Medicago truncatula: one gene and its partner. The protein of the gene in region 1 binds, or shares a complex with, the protein of each later gene. Links are inferred from orthologs where the notes say so. Each region holds a gene or a part of one and is shown in the gene's direction. Other genes may lie near its edges. The genes, in order: trafficking protein particle complex II-specific subunit 130 homolog and trafficking protein particle complex II-specific subunit 120 homolog.

Region 1 (7,155 bases):
GGATTAGTGGAGAATCTTGATGCTGGAAAGTTTTGTGGCTTGGAAATGGATTTTGATTTTGATTTTGGTTTGGAAATTGAAGGGAGGAAAGTGTGGTGAGGTACTGTGCTGTGAACGGAAGCCATTGAAGTGAGTTGGTGAGTTCTAGCTTCCCGAGTCACTGAGTTTCGTCTTCTTTGAGTTGGGTGAGCTTACATAGAAACGCGTTCGTTAGTTTATAGCGGTTTCGTGATCTTGTGTCTCGCATCCTATGACTTTTTGTGTGGCTCCAGAGAGATAGATGTAGCAGTATACCGGGCGATCATATTTTAAAGTTTTAACTAATCTACGTTAAAGGAGAAGGAGATAAAAATAGAAATATAGCATGCAAAAAAATTTAATCAGATTAAAACGTCAAATCATCTAAAAAAACTGATAAACAGCAAAAATTGAGTTTTTTTTTTTTTTTAATTCTTACATTTTTAGAGGAAATGATTCTAACAATTCAACGTTTGATCAAAAAGTAAATAAAATAAATAAAGTATGTTCAATAATTATTTTCACGGAATATGTTTAAATTTTTCTTTTGTAAAAATTGTTCGGATTAGATTGAAGTCTAGACTATTTTTAAAGCTGGATTAAACCAAATATACATATTTTAAGACTCATTTATATTTTCCCTTTAAAAAAAAAAAAACTCATTTATATTTTATTAGTATGATATATTTAATCTCACATTTGTGGTAATTGTGAGTTTTATGTATAGTTCATCACTTCAGACAAAAAAAAAATCTAGTATTTTTTAGGGGAGTAATCTACTATTTTTTAGGTTTTTTTAAGGCTTTATTTTGGAGTTTAGAGAGGAGGAAAAGAGGGTTTAAGAGGTGGGAAATATTGAAAATAATAGAGAAATCTTTCATATTTTTTGAAAAAAAACATGATAAATTAACATTTATGAATTATATATTTTTAATTTAAAAAACATTATAGCAACATAGATTAAGAAAATATCGGAAAAAATAGAGAAAATTTTCACATTATTATTCCACCGTGTTAATTGTTAATAATATATTACCGTACATGTTAAATTTATCATATATTTATAATTTATATTAATTAATAAAAAATTACAATTATGTAATTATGATGTTAAAAATATTGATTTAGATTAAACCGTATGTAAAAGAAAACTATATAAAATTGGATCGGATGAAATTTTTTAAAGAAGCATCCAAACAAATCAAAATAAACCACGTATGATTTTGATTAGTGTTATTTGAACAACCATTTGACTAACAACTTATACGACAACCATAGTTTACAAAGAAAATATAGATATTTGCACGAAACTCAAAGCAATAAAGAGATAAAATAAAAAAATAATGTGAATATGAGAAATATAGTTATCACAAAACGAATGTTCAAATATTATTTCTCTATAATTTTTTTTATCTTTAAATATGATGATATTTTGACAGTTTTGTCTAATGTCAATCCAAACACCTCTAATTTTGGGTTTGACTAATGATGCGATTGGTTGTTGTGTGGGAGAGGTGTAGCTTGATACGGTGAGACGCCGTACATGGAGAACATGGACGAAGATAAATGGTGTCCACATGAAACATGTAGATCAGTTGGGTATCATAAAAATTAAAATTAAAATTAATACATGTAGATAAAGTCTGCTAAAATTGCCTGAGAAGATACTCTACCACAAATATTTATGTCCTCTTTTAAGAATCTTATTATTTTTTTGGGTTCTTTAAAGAATCTTATATATTTGTTAAAAAGAAGACAGTATAAGATTTTGTTGCTGTCATAACGAAGTTCAATGGAAATTTCTCAAAAATAATTTTTCAAAAATTTTCATTTTATAAATAACGTATTTATCAACAGCATAAAATATGTCTCTAAAAAAACTATAGAATGTGTTTAAAACATGTATATCTATAAATCACATACTCGACTTAACGTAGTATACCCGTAGGCCCATTTGTGAGTATAATAAGACCACGCCCGAGGTTACTCGGTCGAGGGAGGGGAACATGATGAGCATTGTAGAGGATAATGGTGTTAATCCTCCAAATAAATTGTCGACGACAATACCATTAGAACGTTAGTTTAGTTCCCCACCTATAGCCAACTTGAAGGAAACCAGGATTCATTCACTTCTTACCTATAATGGTAGGTGATTAAAAGGCTCAGTCGAACTATTCCATGAATCGTCTAACAATCGAGCAAAATCAAAATTCGTTAACGGTATGTGTCTAAGAGCTCGGCCTAACAACTCCATGGATCGTCTAAACAATAAAGGAAAATCAAGATTCATTCACTTCTTACCATAATGGTATATGTTTAAAAGGCCCAACCTTCCATGGATTGTAGAACAATAAAACCCATTCAAAAAGGAGCAAACATACTTAATAACGGGAACATAAGCGAGTGTGTTTGAGATGCCGACCTAATCTCAAAACATTACGCAACACAATATTATGTCTCAGGTGCCATACAAGGAAATCACCTTGTTTCCGCATCAAATAAGCCCATTTGACAGCTATAGTTTAGCTTGATACCTCACATCTCACATATCTTTTGCCAATTTTTATCTTCATTTGAATTTGATGGTTCAGAGGAAAATCTTCTTCAAAAATTAAAAACATTATTCATCAAAGTATGAGCTTCACGAGGATTTGTGACTCAGTAAAAATCTCCCCCTATTTTCGATGATGGCATACATGTACATTTAGATTAACATTTATTTATTTATTTTTGAGATATATAAACAATTTGAGGATAAGTCTTAAGAACCCCCCCCTAAGATTGTGCTAAACTTTATGAAACATAACATGATTTTACGGTTGATACATGATTTCACACCTGATACGTATTGTAACCTCTCAAAACATTCATATATTCTAAGAATAAAATAAGCCGTTTATCTAAACATAATAGGGCATTTAGATCAATTCATAAATATCCGTATACATAAAAAAAAAAAAAAAATTAAAAATAAATATTAACTAAATAAAAACTAATCATTGTAATTGCAAAAAAAGGTCCTAAAGGATTACATGGTTCAAGCAACTACAACAAAGATGCCCTCTTGGCCTAATCTATGAATTAACCACTCATGATAAATCTAAACATAGACCGTGAGTCTACGAAGAACAATACAGGAATAAGTGATGATCCAAAAGATGAAGTCTTGTTCCCGGTATATTCAATATGCTCCAACCTTCAAGAAATCCAAAATCGACCCCTTTGGAAGTGTTACTTGATGCCTTTTATAAATTTTCGAATCTCAGTGATTCAAAAACGGGCCTATGTATGCCTCTTTGTGCAACGCGTTGACTTCCTCTTCCTCATGCAATATCACATATTTAATAGCACTTAGTTCTTATGTCTTTCTTCATTCCTTGTCCACTTTTCATCACCGTAAAAAACATTATAAGATCATAAAGTTGTATGGTTAGGGTGAATTTGAGCTAGTTTCAAGGTCTTCTTTGCACTTTTCTCCTTTCATGATCATTTCTTCAATTATTATAAAACTCAACTAAAATAAACCCATCTAAAAGCCTATGAAATGACTGATAAAAGACACTATAATATTGTTATGAGCGAGTATCGTCACGTTAATATATTATTAACATAAGACATACATAGTGATGTTTTTATAATTTTGATAGTTTTAAAACTATAACTATAGTATATATTTTTTTGGTGTTAACCTTCTGATTCTCAGCAGAAGAGAACCATAATAATAAAGTTCAATTATTAGGTAAGTATAATTAACCAAATTAAACTCGATTTTTTTTTTCTTAACTAATTGTTTTTTGACGAAGCTCATTAACCATTTGATTGAAAAAATGTTTCGTAGACAAAATGATTACTGGTTTAATCCATTTTAAAGGACTTTATAACCATAGTGAAAAGTAAAAAAAAAGAAAGCTCCATGATATTGACGGCTACGGCAAGAGAGAGTTATGAAACGAAGTAGCGTTGGATCGTGGAGTGAGTGTGATACATTACATACACCGCGAAACACTAACTGGATCTGCGGGAAGTAACATCTTCTTTTTCTCAACTAACTCTCACTTCACTGCACATGTTGGATCTAGATACTCTTCAGATCCAACATGGCTAACTTCCTCGCTCAGTTCCAAACCATTAAAAACTCTTCCGATCGCCTCGTCATTTCAGGTACTACTCAAAGATCTCATCACATTCCTTTTCCCGATCATACAAATCTTCATTTCCTCTCCTTTACGATCTATCTATCTCTCGATTACCAATTTATGTATGTTATTTAGGGCTTTTAGTTTAATTCAATTATACTTTTATATATTCTTCTTGCTATGTGATAGATAATATGTATAATCATTTCAACTGTTATACTGAGTAATGCTAGAATTTCAATGTATTTTTGTTCATCAAATGCTTGGAAATCGAGATAGCGTATTCTTTTAATTATGTAACATGAACACTGGTAATAATTCGATAAAATGGATTAATTGAAGGCAATCACTGTTTTACTGAATGAATTTGGTTAACTACACGAAGCATTGTCGCATACATGGACGGATGCAACACTGCCACATGATAATTTAGGAATTGAAGTGATTGAAAGTAACTAAATGTATCAGTGTAGTGTAGGTGTTGAACACCAACATTTGTTGGACACGTTTTCAATCTGAAGTGTCAGTATTACATATGCTACTATAATTGTCGGTGATTTAGATGTGTTTGTGTGTGTGTTTTTGTGAGTGTGTCTCTGTTATTTTATTGATGCTTGATGGAAATGATTATCAGTGGAGGACGTGAGTGACTTGTGGCCGACTGTAAAACCTGCTTTTGAAGCGCGGTTGCCGTTTAAAAGGGCGAGTTTGAATAACAAGACGAGGAACCCTGTTTTGGTTGACAAGTTGCCGGCAGAGTTCATATTAACTACAGATTCAAGGCTCCGTAGTCGGTTTCCTCAGGAGCAGTTGTTGTTCTGGTTTCGAGAGCCGTATGCAACTGTTGTGCTTGTTACCTGTGAGGTAATGCGTATTCCTGTTGATTACTTTTTTTGGATTCTTGCTGAAAGTTGTAATGTTTTGATGACTTCCAAGGTTAGATTAGGGAGATCCACTATGACTTTTGACACAGTTTATAGCTTTCTGCTACAATGTAATTCATTTCGGTAGGTAAAGTAAAAAAAAACTCAACCATTGATGTGAAAATCATGGATATACCAATATACATAACAAATCATAGATGTATTAAAAATTTGAACCGTTGATTTTGTCATCAACGGTTGAGATTCCTTGGATTCACCCTTTAAAGTGATAGCTAAGCTAACTTCAGTGGAGTTAGATTCAAATAAATAACATGCAAAGCGGAAAGAATGAATTTCATGGTGTTGATGAATTAAGTGTAATTGCATTGCAGTACATTACTACATTTCATAACATCATTTAATTGCATTTTGATAGATAGAATTTGAAAAGATCTTCGCCCAGTTTATTAGTATCTCTATTACCTACACATTCTTGGGCTAGGGCCGAGCCTTTCAACTTTAAGGAAGTCCCGTTTCTTGCTTAGCGTGTTCAGCACAAGGTAATGGGATAGGGTGTTATGCTTTGTCCAAGCTTTAAATATGAAGAGCTTTAAGGTGTGTGGGTGGGTGGGGGTGGGGGCATTCATATATAAGGGGAAACCTCAATTTTGCAGTATTTACAGACATGATAATTACTGTCAATTGTCATATTTCTGGTCATAGTTCTATGCTGAACTTTAGACCATTCAGGAAATAATCTAAATTATCAACTATTCAATTTAAAATTGTTTCATTCAATAAATTTTGGTTCATAAACTTTTCATTGTTTCTGTTGCAGAATTTATTATGTAGTGTAACTCTTATTTTCTCTTACCAGGATCTTGATGAGTTTAAAAGCATCCTTAAACCACGCCTGAAATTAATTGTCCAGAATGATGAAAGGGAATGGTTTATTGTATTTGTATCTAAAGCTCATCCAGCTAATGATCAGGCAAACAAAATGGCAAAGAAAGTATATGCTAAACTTGAAGTTGAGTTTAGCTCCAGAAAAAGAGAAAGGTAAACTTGCAAGGGAATGACTTGTTGGTTGACAATTTATCCAAATGTTTTTCTCGACTCAAGTTTATTTTAGACATTACAGAATACAGTCAATGTATTTTTCTTTTGAACAAGAATACAGCATTGTATAACAATCTTAACAATCATTTAGTTGCACACTTTTGTCAAAAAAAATAAAAAATAAATCATTTAATTGCACACTGTTCTCAATATTGTGACTTGATGTGGCAATAGTTAATTGAAAGTGGTTTCTTGAAAATTGAATATAATTTACAAAAAATATTAGGAGAGAAAAACCCGAGATAATCTCTGAGAAAGTGATATTTTTTATAATTTTATTTTGGAGAAGGGCAAATTATCATTAATTAAAGTGGCATTATTGGCCATTTTACAGCTTTTCAACATGGGATTTGAACTCCGTCGTTGAGGCTATAAGGTCAATATCTTACCACAAAGCTGACACCTCATGGACGAAAGTTATATGAACTATGAGAAAGTGATCTATTAACCTCATGTACCAGTCTCTGTTAATTCTGCTCTAACAGAGCTGTAACTGACAGTCTGTAACAGATTAAAGCTAACTGCAACAGCTCTATCACAATTATATCACTTGCAGAAATATATCAACAAAACAGAGACTGGTACACATGTCTAACTAGCTCTAACAGCTAACTGGTGCCAAAGTACATTAACAAAACAGAGACCACACACACGTGCAGAATAATCTGCAATGAAGACTGTAAGTTTAGTTTTATGGGTTGGTCTTAGTGTTGCTTTCTGTGGACCATTCTTCCATTATTGTGTCCTTCGCTTAACATGAAGGACTGTCAGATAGATATTGTTGGATCAACCCTTCAACTGTTAATAATTCATGTGAATGGTTGAGAATTTGATGTTGAATTAGATGGAAGAAAAAAGTAGAAACTGTAAGAAGTGATTCTCCCCAGAAATACTGACCAATCACGAGTAAAAAAAGAGTGGTTTTTCATACTTTTCCTTCTCATTCATTCCAATATGTCTAGTTTAACTGCATAATTGTTGATATTTGATAAAGCTTGCTTTTCTTCCCTTTTGATGCT
Region 2 (7,598 bases), on another chromosome or scaffold:
AAACCAAATACCTGTAACAGCATCTCCTTCAACAGTTTCCAGTATGCATCTTTTTCAAAATTTGATGAAAACGTCAAAAGAGGGCGGGAGCCTTTTAGGTGATTCCCAGTAAGCTTCAATTCCTCCATTGTGTGCACTGGAAATCAGTGAAGGTAAAAGAGAAACTAGTAAAATGGCCTCAGAGAGAAAGAAAGAGAGACAATCATAATTCAAAAAGAAGAATGAAGAACTGGATTACTGATCCCAGAATACTATATAATCATAGCAAGGAAATTGGTTTATGTAGTAAACTTAAGATAACAAACAGATGAGAATATTACTGGCACTAACTAAAAATTTAACAGACGGGCCGTTGGGGCATTTTGCCATCCAGAGATAAAGATCTTTTGCCTTCCTGCACTGAATTTCACATACACAGAAGGTAGATATAAGATAGTTATCCAAATGTTACAAATAGACTAGACTTGCTCGAGATTAAGAATGGTAACTCAAACTCGAGATTAAATGGAAAATGTTGTCTCAGTCGACAGATTTAAAACAAGTAAACTTTGTAAATACAGAGAAAGCCAATTTGGGAGGGGAAAGAAAAGAGTGAAATTCTCTACACTTTAAAATTCTTAATGGATAAAACAAAAATCTATAAGACACAATAATCAGATGTGTAATCCATCACATAAAGGAAATAGATTATATCAATTCGAAACTAACCAACAACAACATATTACATTACATCTAAATATCAACATAGACATCAACATTTGTAACAAAATGGAATAATTCTTGACACCAACAAACAGTGAATTTTCTAACTCAACAACAACATAGCATAGCTCATAAACATAATGCATAGTTTTCATTGAAAAACCTTAATGTCATAAAAAATAAAAAATAAATAATACCTCAAAAAATAAACATGAAGAACAGTTTTTGAGCTCAACAAGCTCGTTCAAGGTGGCGCCTTTAGTTTCTTTCGATTCAACCTTGTTATCCTTTTTGCAATGAGGTAGAAGTGATACCAAGTTCAACATCAAATGTCGGTACCTATAATAAGTTTATGATCAATACCATATTAAAAAACTAGTAACCCACAATAAAAGGAAGAAGTTTTTTTGTGCTTAATTTCACACACAAAGGACTTGTTTGGATTGCATTATTTAAATTTATCTACTGGAAATTGGGATAAACACTTGTGAGACTGTTTGGGACAACTTCTAGAAACAACATATGAAATGTCCACAAACTGTTTTCAGCATCTTCCATAAGCTCTTCAAGATAGTTTATGAATACAACTTATAACTTACATCAAAACCATTTGACATTAATTTAATTTTTGTTGCAGAAATAACTTATAAATAAGCACTTACAAGATAAACCCTTACAGCATAATAACTTAACTAAGTTGTTAGCCAAACATACCCAAAATAAACAAATCCGAAATCAAAACAAGCACAAACTGCGTGATAACAGCAAAATATATTTGGGTTTTGAGATTTACACCTGTAAACAATACGCCTAGAGCAAGTAACCAAAACTTTCTCTTTGTTCCTGAATACAGGTGAAGCACCGTTGTCCTTAACCTCAGCTTCATTCTCATTCTTATCCTTCCATCCCAAAAGGGTCCTCACTGGTCTCTCTGGAGCAACATCTTCCTTTTTGGGCACAGCCACAGCTTCAGCCTTTTCACTTCGCTTTCTCTTCCCCATGTTATTTGGCTACAAATCAATCACATAATATAAATTAAATCATTTAATTCATATACGCCGTTAGTGTAAAAAGTTGTTACATTGTCAATCAATCGTAGCTGATAGAACATTCCAAAAGTTTGATGTTTATCATAATCACTTCAAAAGTCACAAACATTATTGGTTGTTTGAGATAGTAACAGTACAAAACAGTGAATAAAAATTAAACTTTGGGCCATTTGGATTGGCTTATTTTAGCTTATCTATTTGCATAAGTTTTGTGAGACTGTTTAGGAGAACTTATGAAACCAACTTATGACGTATTCATAAGCCGTTTTCAGCTTATTTTCATAAGTTCTCCAAGTTAACTTATTAAAACAGCTTATAGCTTATACAAAGACAATTAACTTAATCTCATCATTTTCCATAGAAATAGCTTACACGTAGCTGCAAATAAGCTGTTTATCCAAATGGGGTCCTATCTTATATTAAAACTAATAATACATGATCCATTTTACTACAAAATGAAATTTTGTCAATGACCCATTTGCCATTTTGGTTCAAAATAATATTTTGACAGTGACCCATTTGATTTCTTCAGTTAAGATAACAAAAACAGATACATACATACAGTAATAATGGTGGAAGCAGAACAATAAAAGCATGCACGATGACAATTAAACGAAATAAGAGAGAAAACGGATATAGAGAGAAGGAAGGTACCTAGGTGATTGCAGAGGAAGGAGGTGAAGGTGGATAATCGCCGGCTATGGATGGAGGTTTTGGTGGCTGTGAAAAACGAAAGGAAAGGGTTTTAGACCTATTATGAAAGCCCACTTCTAGTTTTTTTTCTTCTAGAATTTTGAAGGTTTGAATATCATATTTTTTGTGGTAAATCATTATGATATTTTTTTCTTTTGATAATTTGTTTTACTTTTTACAAAATTTATATTTGATTTTTATTTATATGCATTAAATTTGTTGGATAATTTATTATGTTGGATTTTATTGACTTTTAAGGTTTCTTTAAAAATTCTTTAACAATCAAGGTTTTTTAGTTTGTATTTGAATGGTGGATTAATAACATAAATTTTTGGATTTCAAAATGTTTTATTTATGAATTAAAGATTAAGGGTTTAAATTTTAACCAGGAGAAAAATATTACATAACAATTAATATTTCATCATTTAACGGTAAAAAATGTCACGTAAACTCAATTTACACACAAAAAATACATAAGTACTAAGTAAACTCGGTTTACATAAGTTACGTCAATTAAGTTTGTGAGCGCTGAAATGATTTGAGATGTACCCAAAACGTGAGGAACAAGTGCAAGATTTTGATTACATTGAAAATTTTATTTCATTTTAAAAATATTTTATTGAGGTATGAATAGTAATTATCTTTGTTCTAGTCGTTTTAAAGGAGAAACAAGGTCGATTTTTTTTTCATTTGAATGAGAAAAAAAAAATATTAAAACACGATTTTTTCCTAGAAAATTAAACAATTAAAAGAGTACATCGAATAACATTGGAATTGTAAAATAAAAAATTACTCATGGATTTCAATAGATTCAGTATTTTTAAAATTTTAAAATACTTTGCGGGTTTTTAAAATTTAAAGGAACACATATGGTTGGACATTTGATTAAAGAGTAACATAAAATTGATTCCTCGTAAATTTGTACAATAAATATGAAATAATTTATCTCTCGTATTATTTTGTCAAATACATCATTCTATAATTATTTTAGTTTGTAAATTTTCACGTTCGTTATCCGTTAACATTTTAAAGAGTTGAAGTGGGTAGTGATGTGAGATTTGAAGCTACCAAATTCACAATAATTGGCGCCCACTGCAGGGTAAGGGGATAAGTTTGTCAAGTGATCAATATGATCACCAAAGATTACATCTTGAAGGTGGAGACAAACATGGATCAACGAAAGTGTATGGAGGCATTTAAAGGTAAGGCGGTGTTGTCGGTCAACCTAGCACAATCAAAGAAGGTTAAGTACTTAAGTGGAAGATAGGATGTCATGACGGTGATGTCATGGCGGTAATGTTTGTTTCCAAAGGTCATGTTCCGTCTAGAGAGGCGGAGGTAGTAGTGCTCGTGTTCAACTTTAGAGGTGGATTTGCGAGGTGAAAGACATAGTGGAAGTACTCATTTGAAAGTTAAGATAAAAAAATCTCAGCTTAAGGTGGAGCTGATAACAGTGGAATGTTACAACTAAGAAGACTTTTGTGTTATGCTCTAATTGCGAGCAATGAAATTCTTCAAGATGACGGAATTGATCACACAGGAGAGCTGAAGAGGTTATGGTGTAAACATGTGGAACTGCCTAAAATTTCTAGTGTAGTTGGATGCAAGAATCTCTGAGAGTGCGAAATACAATATGAGGTAAAGGTGGAAACTTGTGGGACTATAAAGTGTAGTTAGATGCAAGGAGAAAAATCAAACTTGGGAGTTTGTCGAACAACCAAGAGTGGTTGTATGCACGTGAAAGTCCACGTGTGAATCAAGGTTCAAACGAGGATTTAGACTTTATTGCTTTTGTCTCGAATATCATTCAACGCAAGGTTAAAGAGCAAGTTGGTTAATAGTTAAATTGACATAACTATAACTTTAGGTCAATTGGATAATTATCGAGTTTTGACTCAAAATTTGATGTTTATGTTTAAGCAAAATTGCGGCACAAGGCCTCAAGATCGTGGCACGATTTTAGTTCTCAAGTTTGGAGTGTATCTTTGAAAATACTGTGGCACGTGAATTGTTGTGAATCGTCAAACAATTCGTTATTTGGTGAAACTCATTTTTGTTTTGACGTATTTTATGAACGTGAATAAATGAATATTTTATTTTGTAAAAAAAAAAAAAAGGAGATCTAGTTTGTATATGCCGGTGAGTGCGAGTGCAGTAAGAAAGACCAAAGTAACTAACCACTCCGGCGATCACGCAGAATGGAACCAGAAGTAAGCATAGAAGGCTCTTCAACAATCCAAATCGCCGTAATCCCAATAGGACAAATCCCACCACCACTCCTCCGCGACTATTACTCCCTCCTCCTCCCACTCCACACCATCCCTCTCTCCGCCATCAGCTCTTTCTACACCGAACACCAGAAATCCCCTTTCGCTCATCAACCTTGGGATTCCGGTTCTCTTCGCTTCAAATTCGTACTTGGCGGCGCTACTCCTAGTCCCTGGGAAGATTTTCAATCGCATCGGAAAACTCTTGCTGTTGTTGGCATTGTTCATTGTCCTTCTTCGTTGGATCTTAATGATGTTGTTGATCAGTTTGCCAGTTCGTGTAAATCTTATCCTTCTTCGCTTGTTGATCGTTGCTTTGCGTTTTACCCTAATGATTCTCAGGTAGTCACATTTTTTATTTGCATTTCAACTTTTTTTTGGTGATTAATTTCCCTAAGAAATGGATCCATAAAAGGAAATATTTCTTATAATTCTTATTTAATTTTTTATTTTTAGAAATTTCCGTTAGAAATTGTTATAATTAGAAACTTTATTAGGCTCACTTTGGTAAACAATAGCAAATAAGTGACGACTTTACTGATAAGCTAGCTGATTGCTGATAGAAAAATGCAGATTTAATTTTTATTTTATAAATTTAAAAATTCCGAACTTGAATCTGGGCCATTCGATCGAGTAAGACAGCTACTGGGCACACTAACTATGTGAATGTGGTGTTTCCCTTATTGAGGGTATGCTCGATCCTAGCGAATATGATAGCTGATTGAATATGTAATGTTAGGTAAAATTAGCGATCGAATTGACTTATAAACATGAAATGACATAAAATATATATCTTTAATTTATATTAATTTCTTTTAATTAAGGTGGCAGATGTAAAACCGAGCGAAAAATGATAAGTCATAGGTTTTAAGCTTTAAGCTACTTGAGTAAGCTTGACAAAAAAAGCTATAAGCTGCCGAGAAGATGAAGATTACCAAATGGGTGTATTTTAGTTATGTGAGCTTATAAGCTAGTAAAAATAAGTTATAAGCTCATGAAAAAAAGACGGTTACCAAATGAGTCTTTTTTAGTCATATGAGCTTATAAGCTTTAAATTGTAAGCTAGCTTATTGTGCTTGTCAAGCAGATCCTTGTAGGTTTTGTTTATTTATTGTTTTGTTTTTTGTTGTAGCTTGAGGATGGAAGTAAGAGAGGTGGAAATTTGAGGTTGTTTCCACCTGCGGATCGTGCAACGTTAGAGTTTCATTTGAATACTATGATGCAAGAAGTAGCTGCTTCGTTGCTAATGGAGTTTGAGAAGTGGGTACTTCAAGCAGAATCTTCTGGAACTATTCTCAAGACACCTTTGGATTCTCAAGCTAGTCTCAGCTCAGAGGAGGTGTTCATGTTTTAGGTGTCATGAATCATGATTATTATTGTTGTTTTTATTTTTATATCTTGGCGGTGTTATGTGTTATAATGTGGATTTTGATTTTTGGTTTTGTGTTCTTGGCTCTGTTTGGATAAACAGCTCAATTAAGAGCTGATAGTATAATAGCTTATCATCTACGTACTTATGCATAAGCTATTTCCATAACAGAAGATAAAATAATTTCAAATTGTTTTAATATAAGCTGTTTTCATAAGCCATTTTGAAGAGCTTCTAAAAATAAGCTTAAAACAAATTATGGACATGCCATAAGGTGTTTTTTATAAGTTGTTCCAAACAGTCTCTCAAATTCTTATGTTGATATGTTCAGCTCAAATAAGCCAAGTCAAACAGGCCTTGTTGTGAAGTTCAATTTGATTGATCTTTTGTGTGTTTGTGTGGAATGCAGGTTATCAAGGCCAAAAAACGGAGACTTGGGCGTGCTCAGAAGACGATTGGTGATTACTGCTTGCTGGCAGGTTCTCCTGTTGATGCTAATCTTCATTATTCTACTGCATTAGAACTTGGCAGGTTGACTGGGGATTACTTCTGGTATGCTGGTGCATTGGAGGGCAGTGTTTGTGCCTTGCTGGTATTTTTTTTTCCTCTTCTTTTCATGCTTTCATTCTGAGTTAGATTTAAAATTGAATAGTGTTTTTTAAAAAAAAAATAATAATTAAAGATTGTGGACTGTATGGCTAGGCAATCCACATGCGTTGTGTTTTTCATTGGAACCGGTGAAGTAATGTGAGGGTACATAAAAAATTCTCTTCATTATGGGTTTTGTGAACCCTATCTCTGATTGCATCCAAAGTGTGTGTTTGGTTTGGATTCATGGTAGAGAGTTTTTTTTCCTCTATTGTCAAATGTGGTTTTAGTAAATATCCAGATCTGTGGTGTGGTTACTCACAATCAAGATTGGTCTTGCTTGCAAACTTTGGTCAAACTCAAATTTGACTAAATCAGTTTTATAAAATTATGTTCATTCTAAACCACGATTGTAAAATCCTTACCCAAATATAACACTAAACACTGCTTTTGTGTGGTGATTAGTTTTGCATTTTGAAAATGGAAGGGATTGAGACATGCAGCCGTAGTGGTTTTTTATGTGTCTACTGTTAACTGCTTTTTCAAGTGCTTAATTGTTTTTTTATTTGCAGACAACGTATGAACAATTACTTACTTTGTATATAATTTATTCAGAAAGCATGAACTAGCAGACTAGAGTATCGACAATTTAAGGCTCCAATGTCTAAAATCTTTATCATCTAATTTGTGCTCCAATTAAGCTAGATTCTGGTTCTTAGAAGGGAAAGAAGATATGTTCATACGGCTCTCAAATGAATCTTGTCTTCGTTTTTACTCAAGAATTCAAGGGCATGAGGTTTAGGCGGAAATTAGTTGACTTGGAAATGCTGCATGTCATAAATAATTTGGTTATTGATTCAATTTATAGACAGTTTTCTGGCATTGCATGGTATCTGCAGTATAAATATTGTAGTATATTTCTATAAATTG

What was found.
Region 2: trafficking protein particle complex II-specific subunit 130 homolog (region 1) and trafficking protein particle complex II-specific subunit 120 homolog share a complex: the UniProt entries of both Arabidopsis thaliana proteins name them as parts of the multisubunit TRAPP (transport protein particle) II complex. The link is inferred for Medicago truncatula from reciprocal best matches to the Arabidopsis thaliana genes CLUB and TRS120.

Annotation. Positions count from the first base shown.
Region 1 is NC_053043.1:39,890,601-39,897,755, forward strand, and holds the start of trafficking protein particle complex II-specific subunit 130 homolog, read left to right. Parts: upstream 1-3,935; 5' UTR 3,936-4,115; coding exon 4,116-4,179; intron 4,180-4,788; coding exon 4,789-5,018; intron 5,019-5,894; coding exon 5,895-6,076; intron 6,077-7,155. Other genes in the region: uncharacterized protein, read right to left, coding at 1-125. UniProt on the Arabidopsis thaliana protein: Specific subunit of the TRAPP II complex, a highly conserved vesicle tethering complex that is required for the proper transport of proteins in post-Golgi trafficking pathways to the growing cell plate in mitotic active cells.
Region 2 is NC_053042.1:2,812,310-2,819,907, reverse strand, and holds the start of trafficking protein particle complex II-specific subunit 120 homolog, read left to right. Parts: upstream 1-4,567; 5' UTR 4,568-4,642; coding exon 4,643-5,053; intron 5,054-5,843; coding exon 5,844-6,050; intron 6,051-6,489; coding exon 6,490-6,672; intron 6,673-7,598. Other genes in the region: ribosome biogenesis protein BRX1 homolog 2, read right to left, coding at 12-136, 321-399, 900-1,041, 1,498-1,703. UniProt on the Arabidopsis thaliana protein: Specific subunit of the TRAPP II complex, a highly conserved vesicle tethering complex that is required for the proper transport of proteins in post-Golgi trafficking pathways to the growing cell plate in mitotic active cells.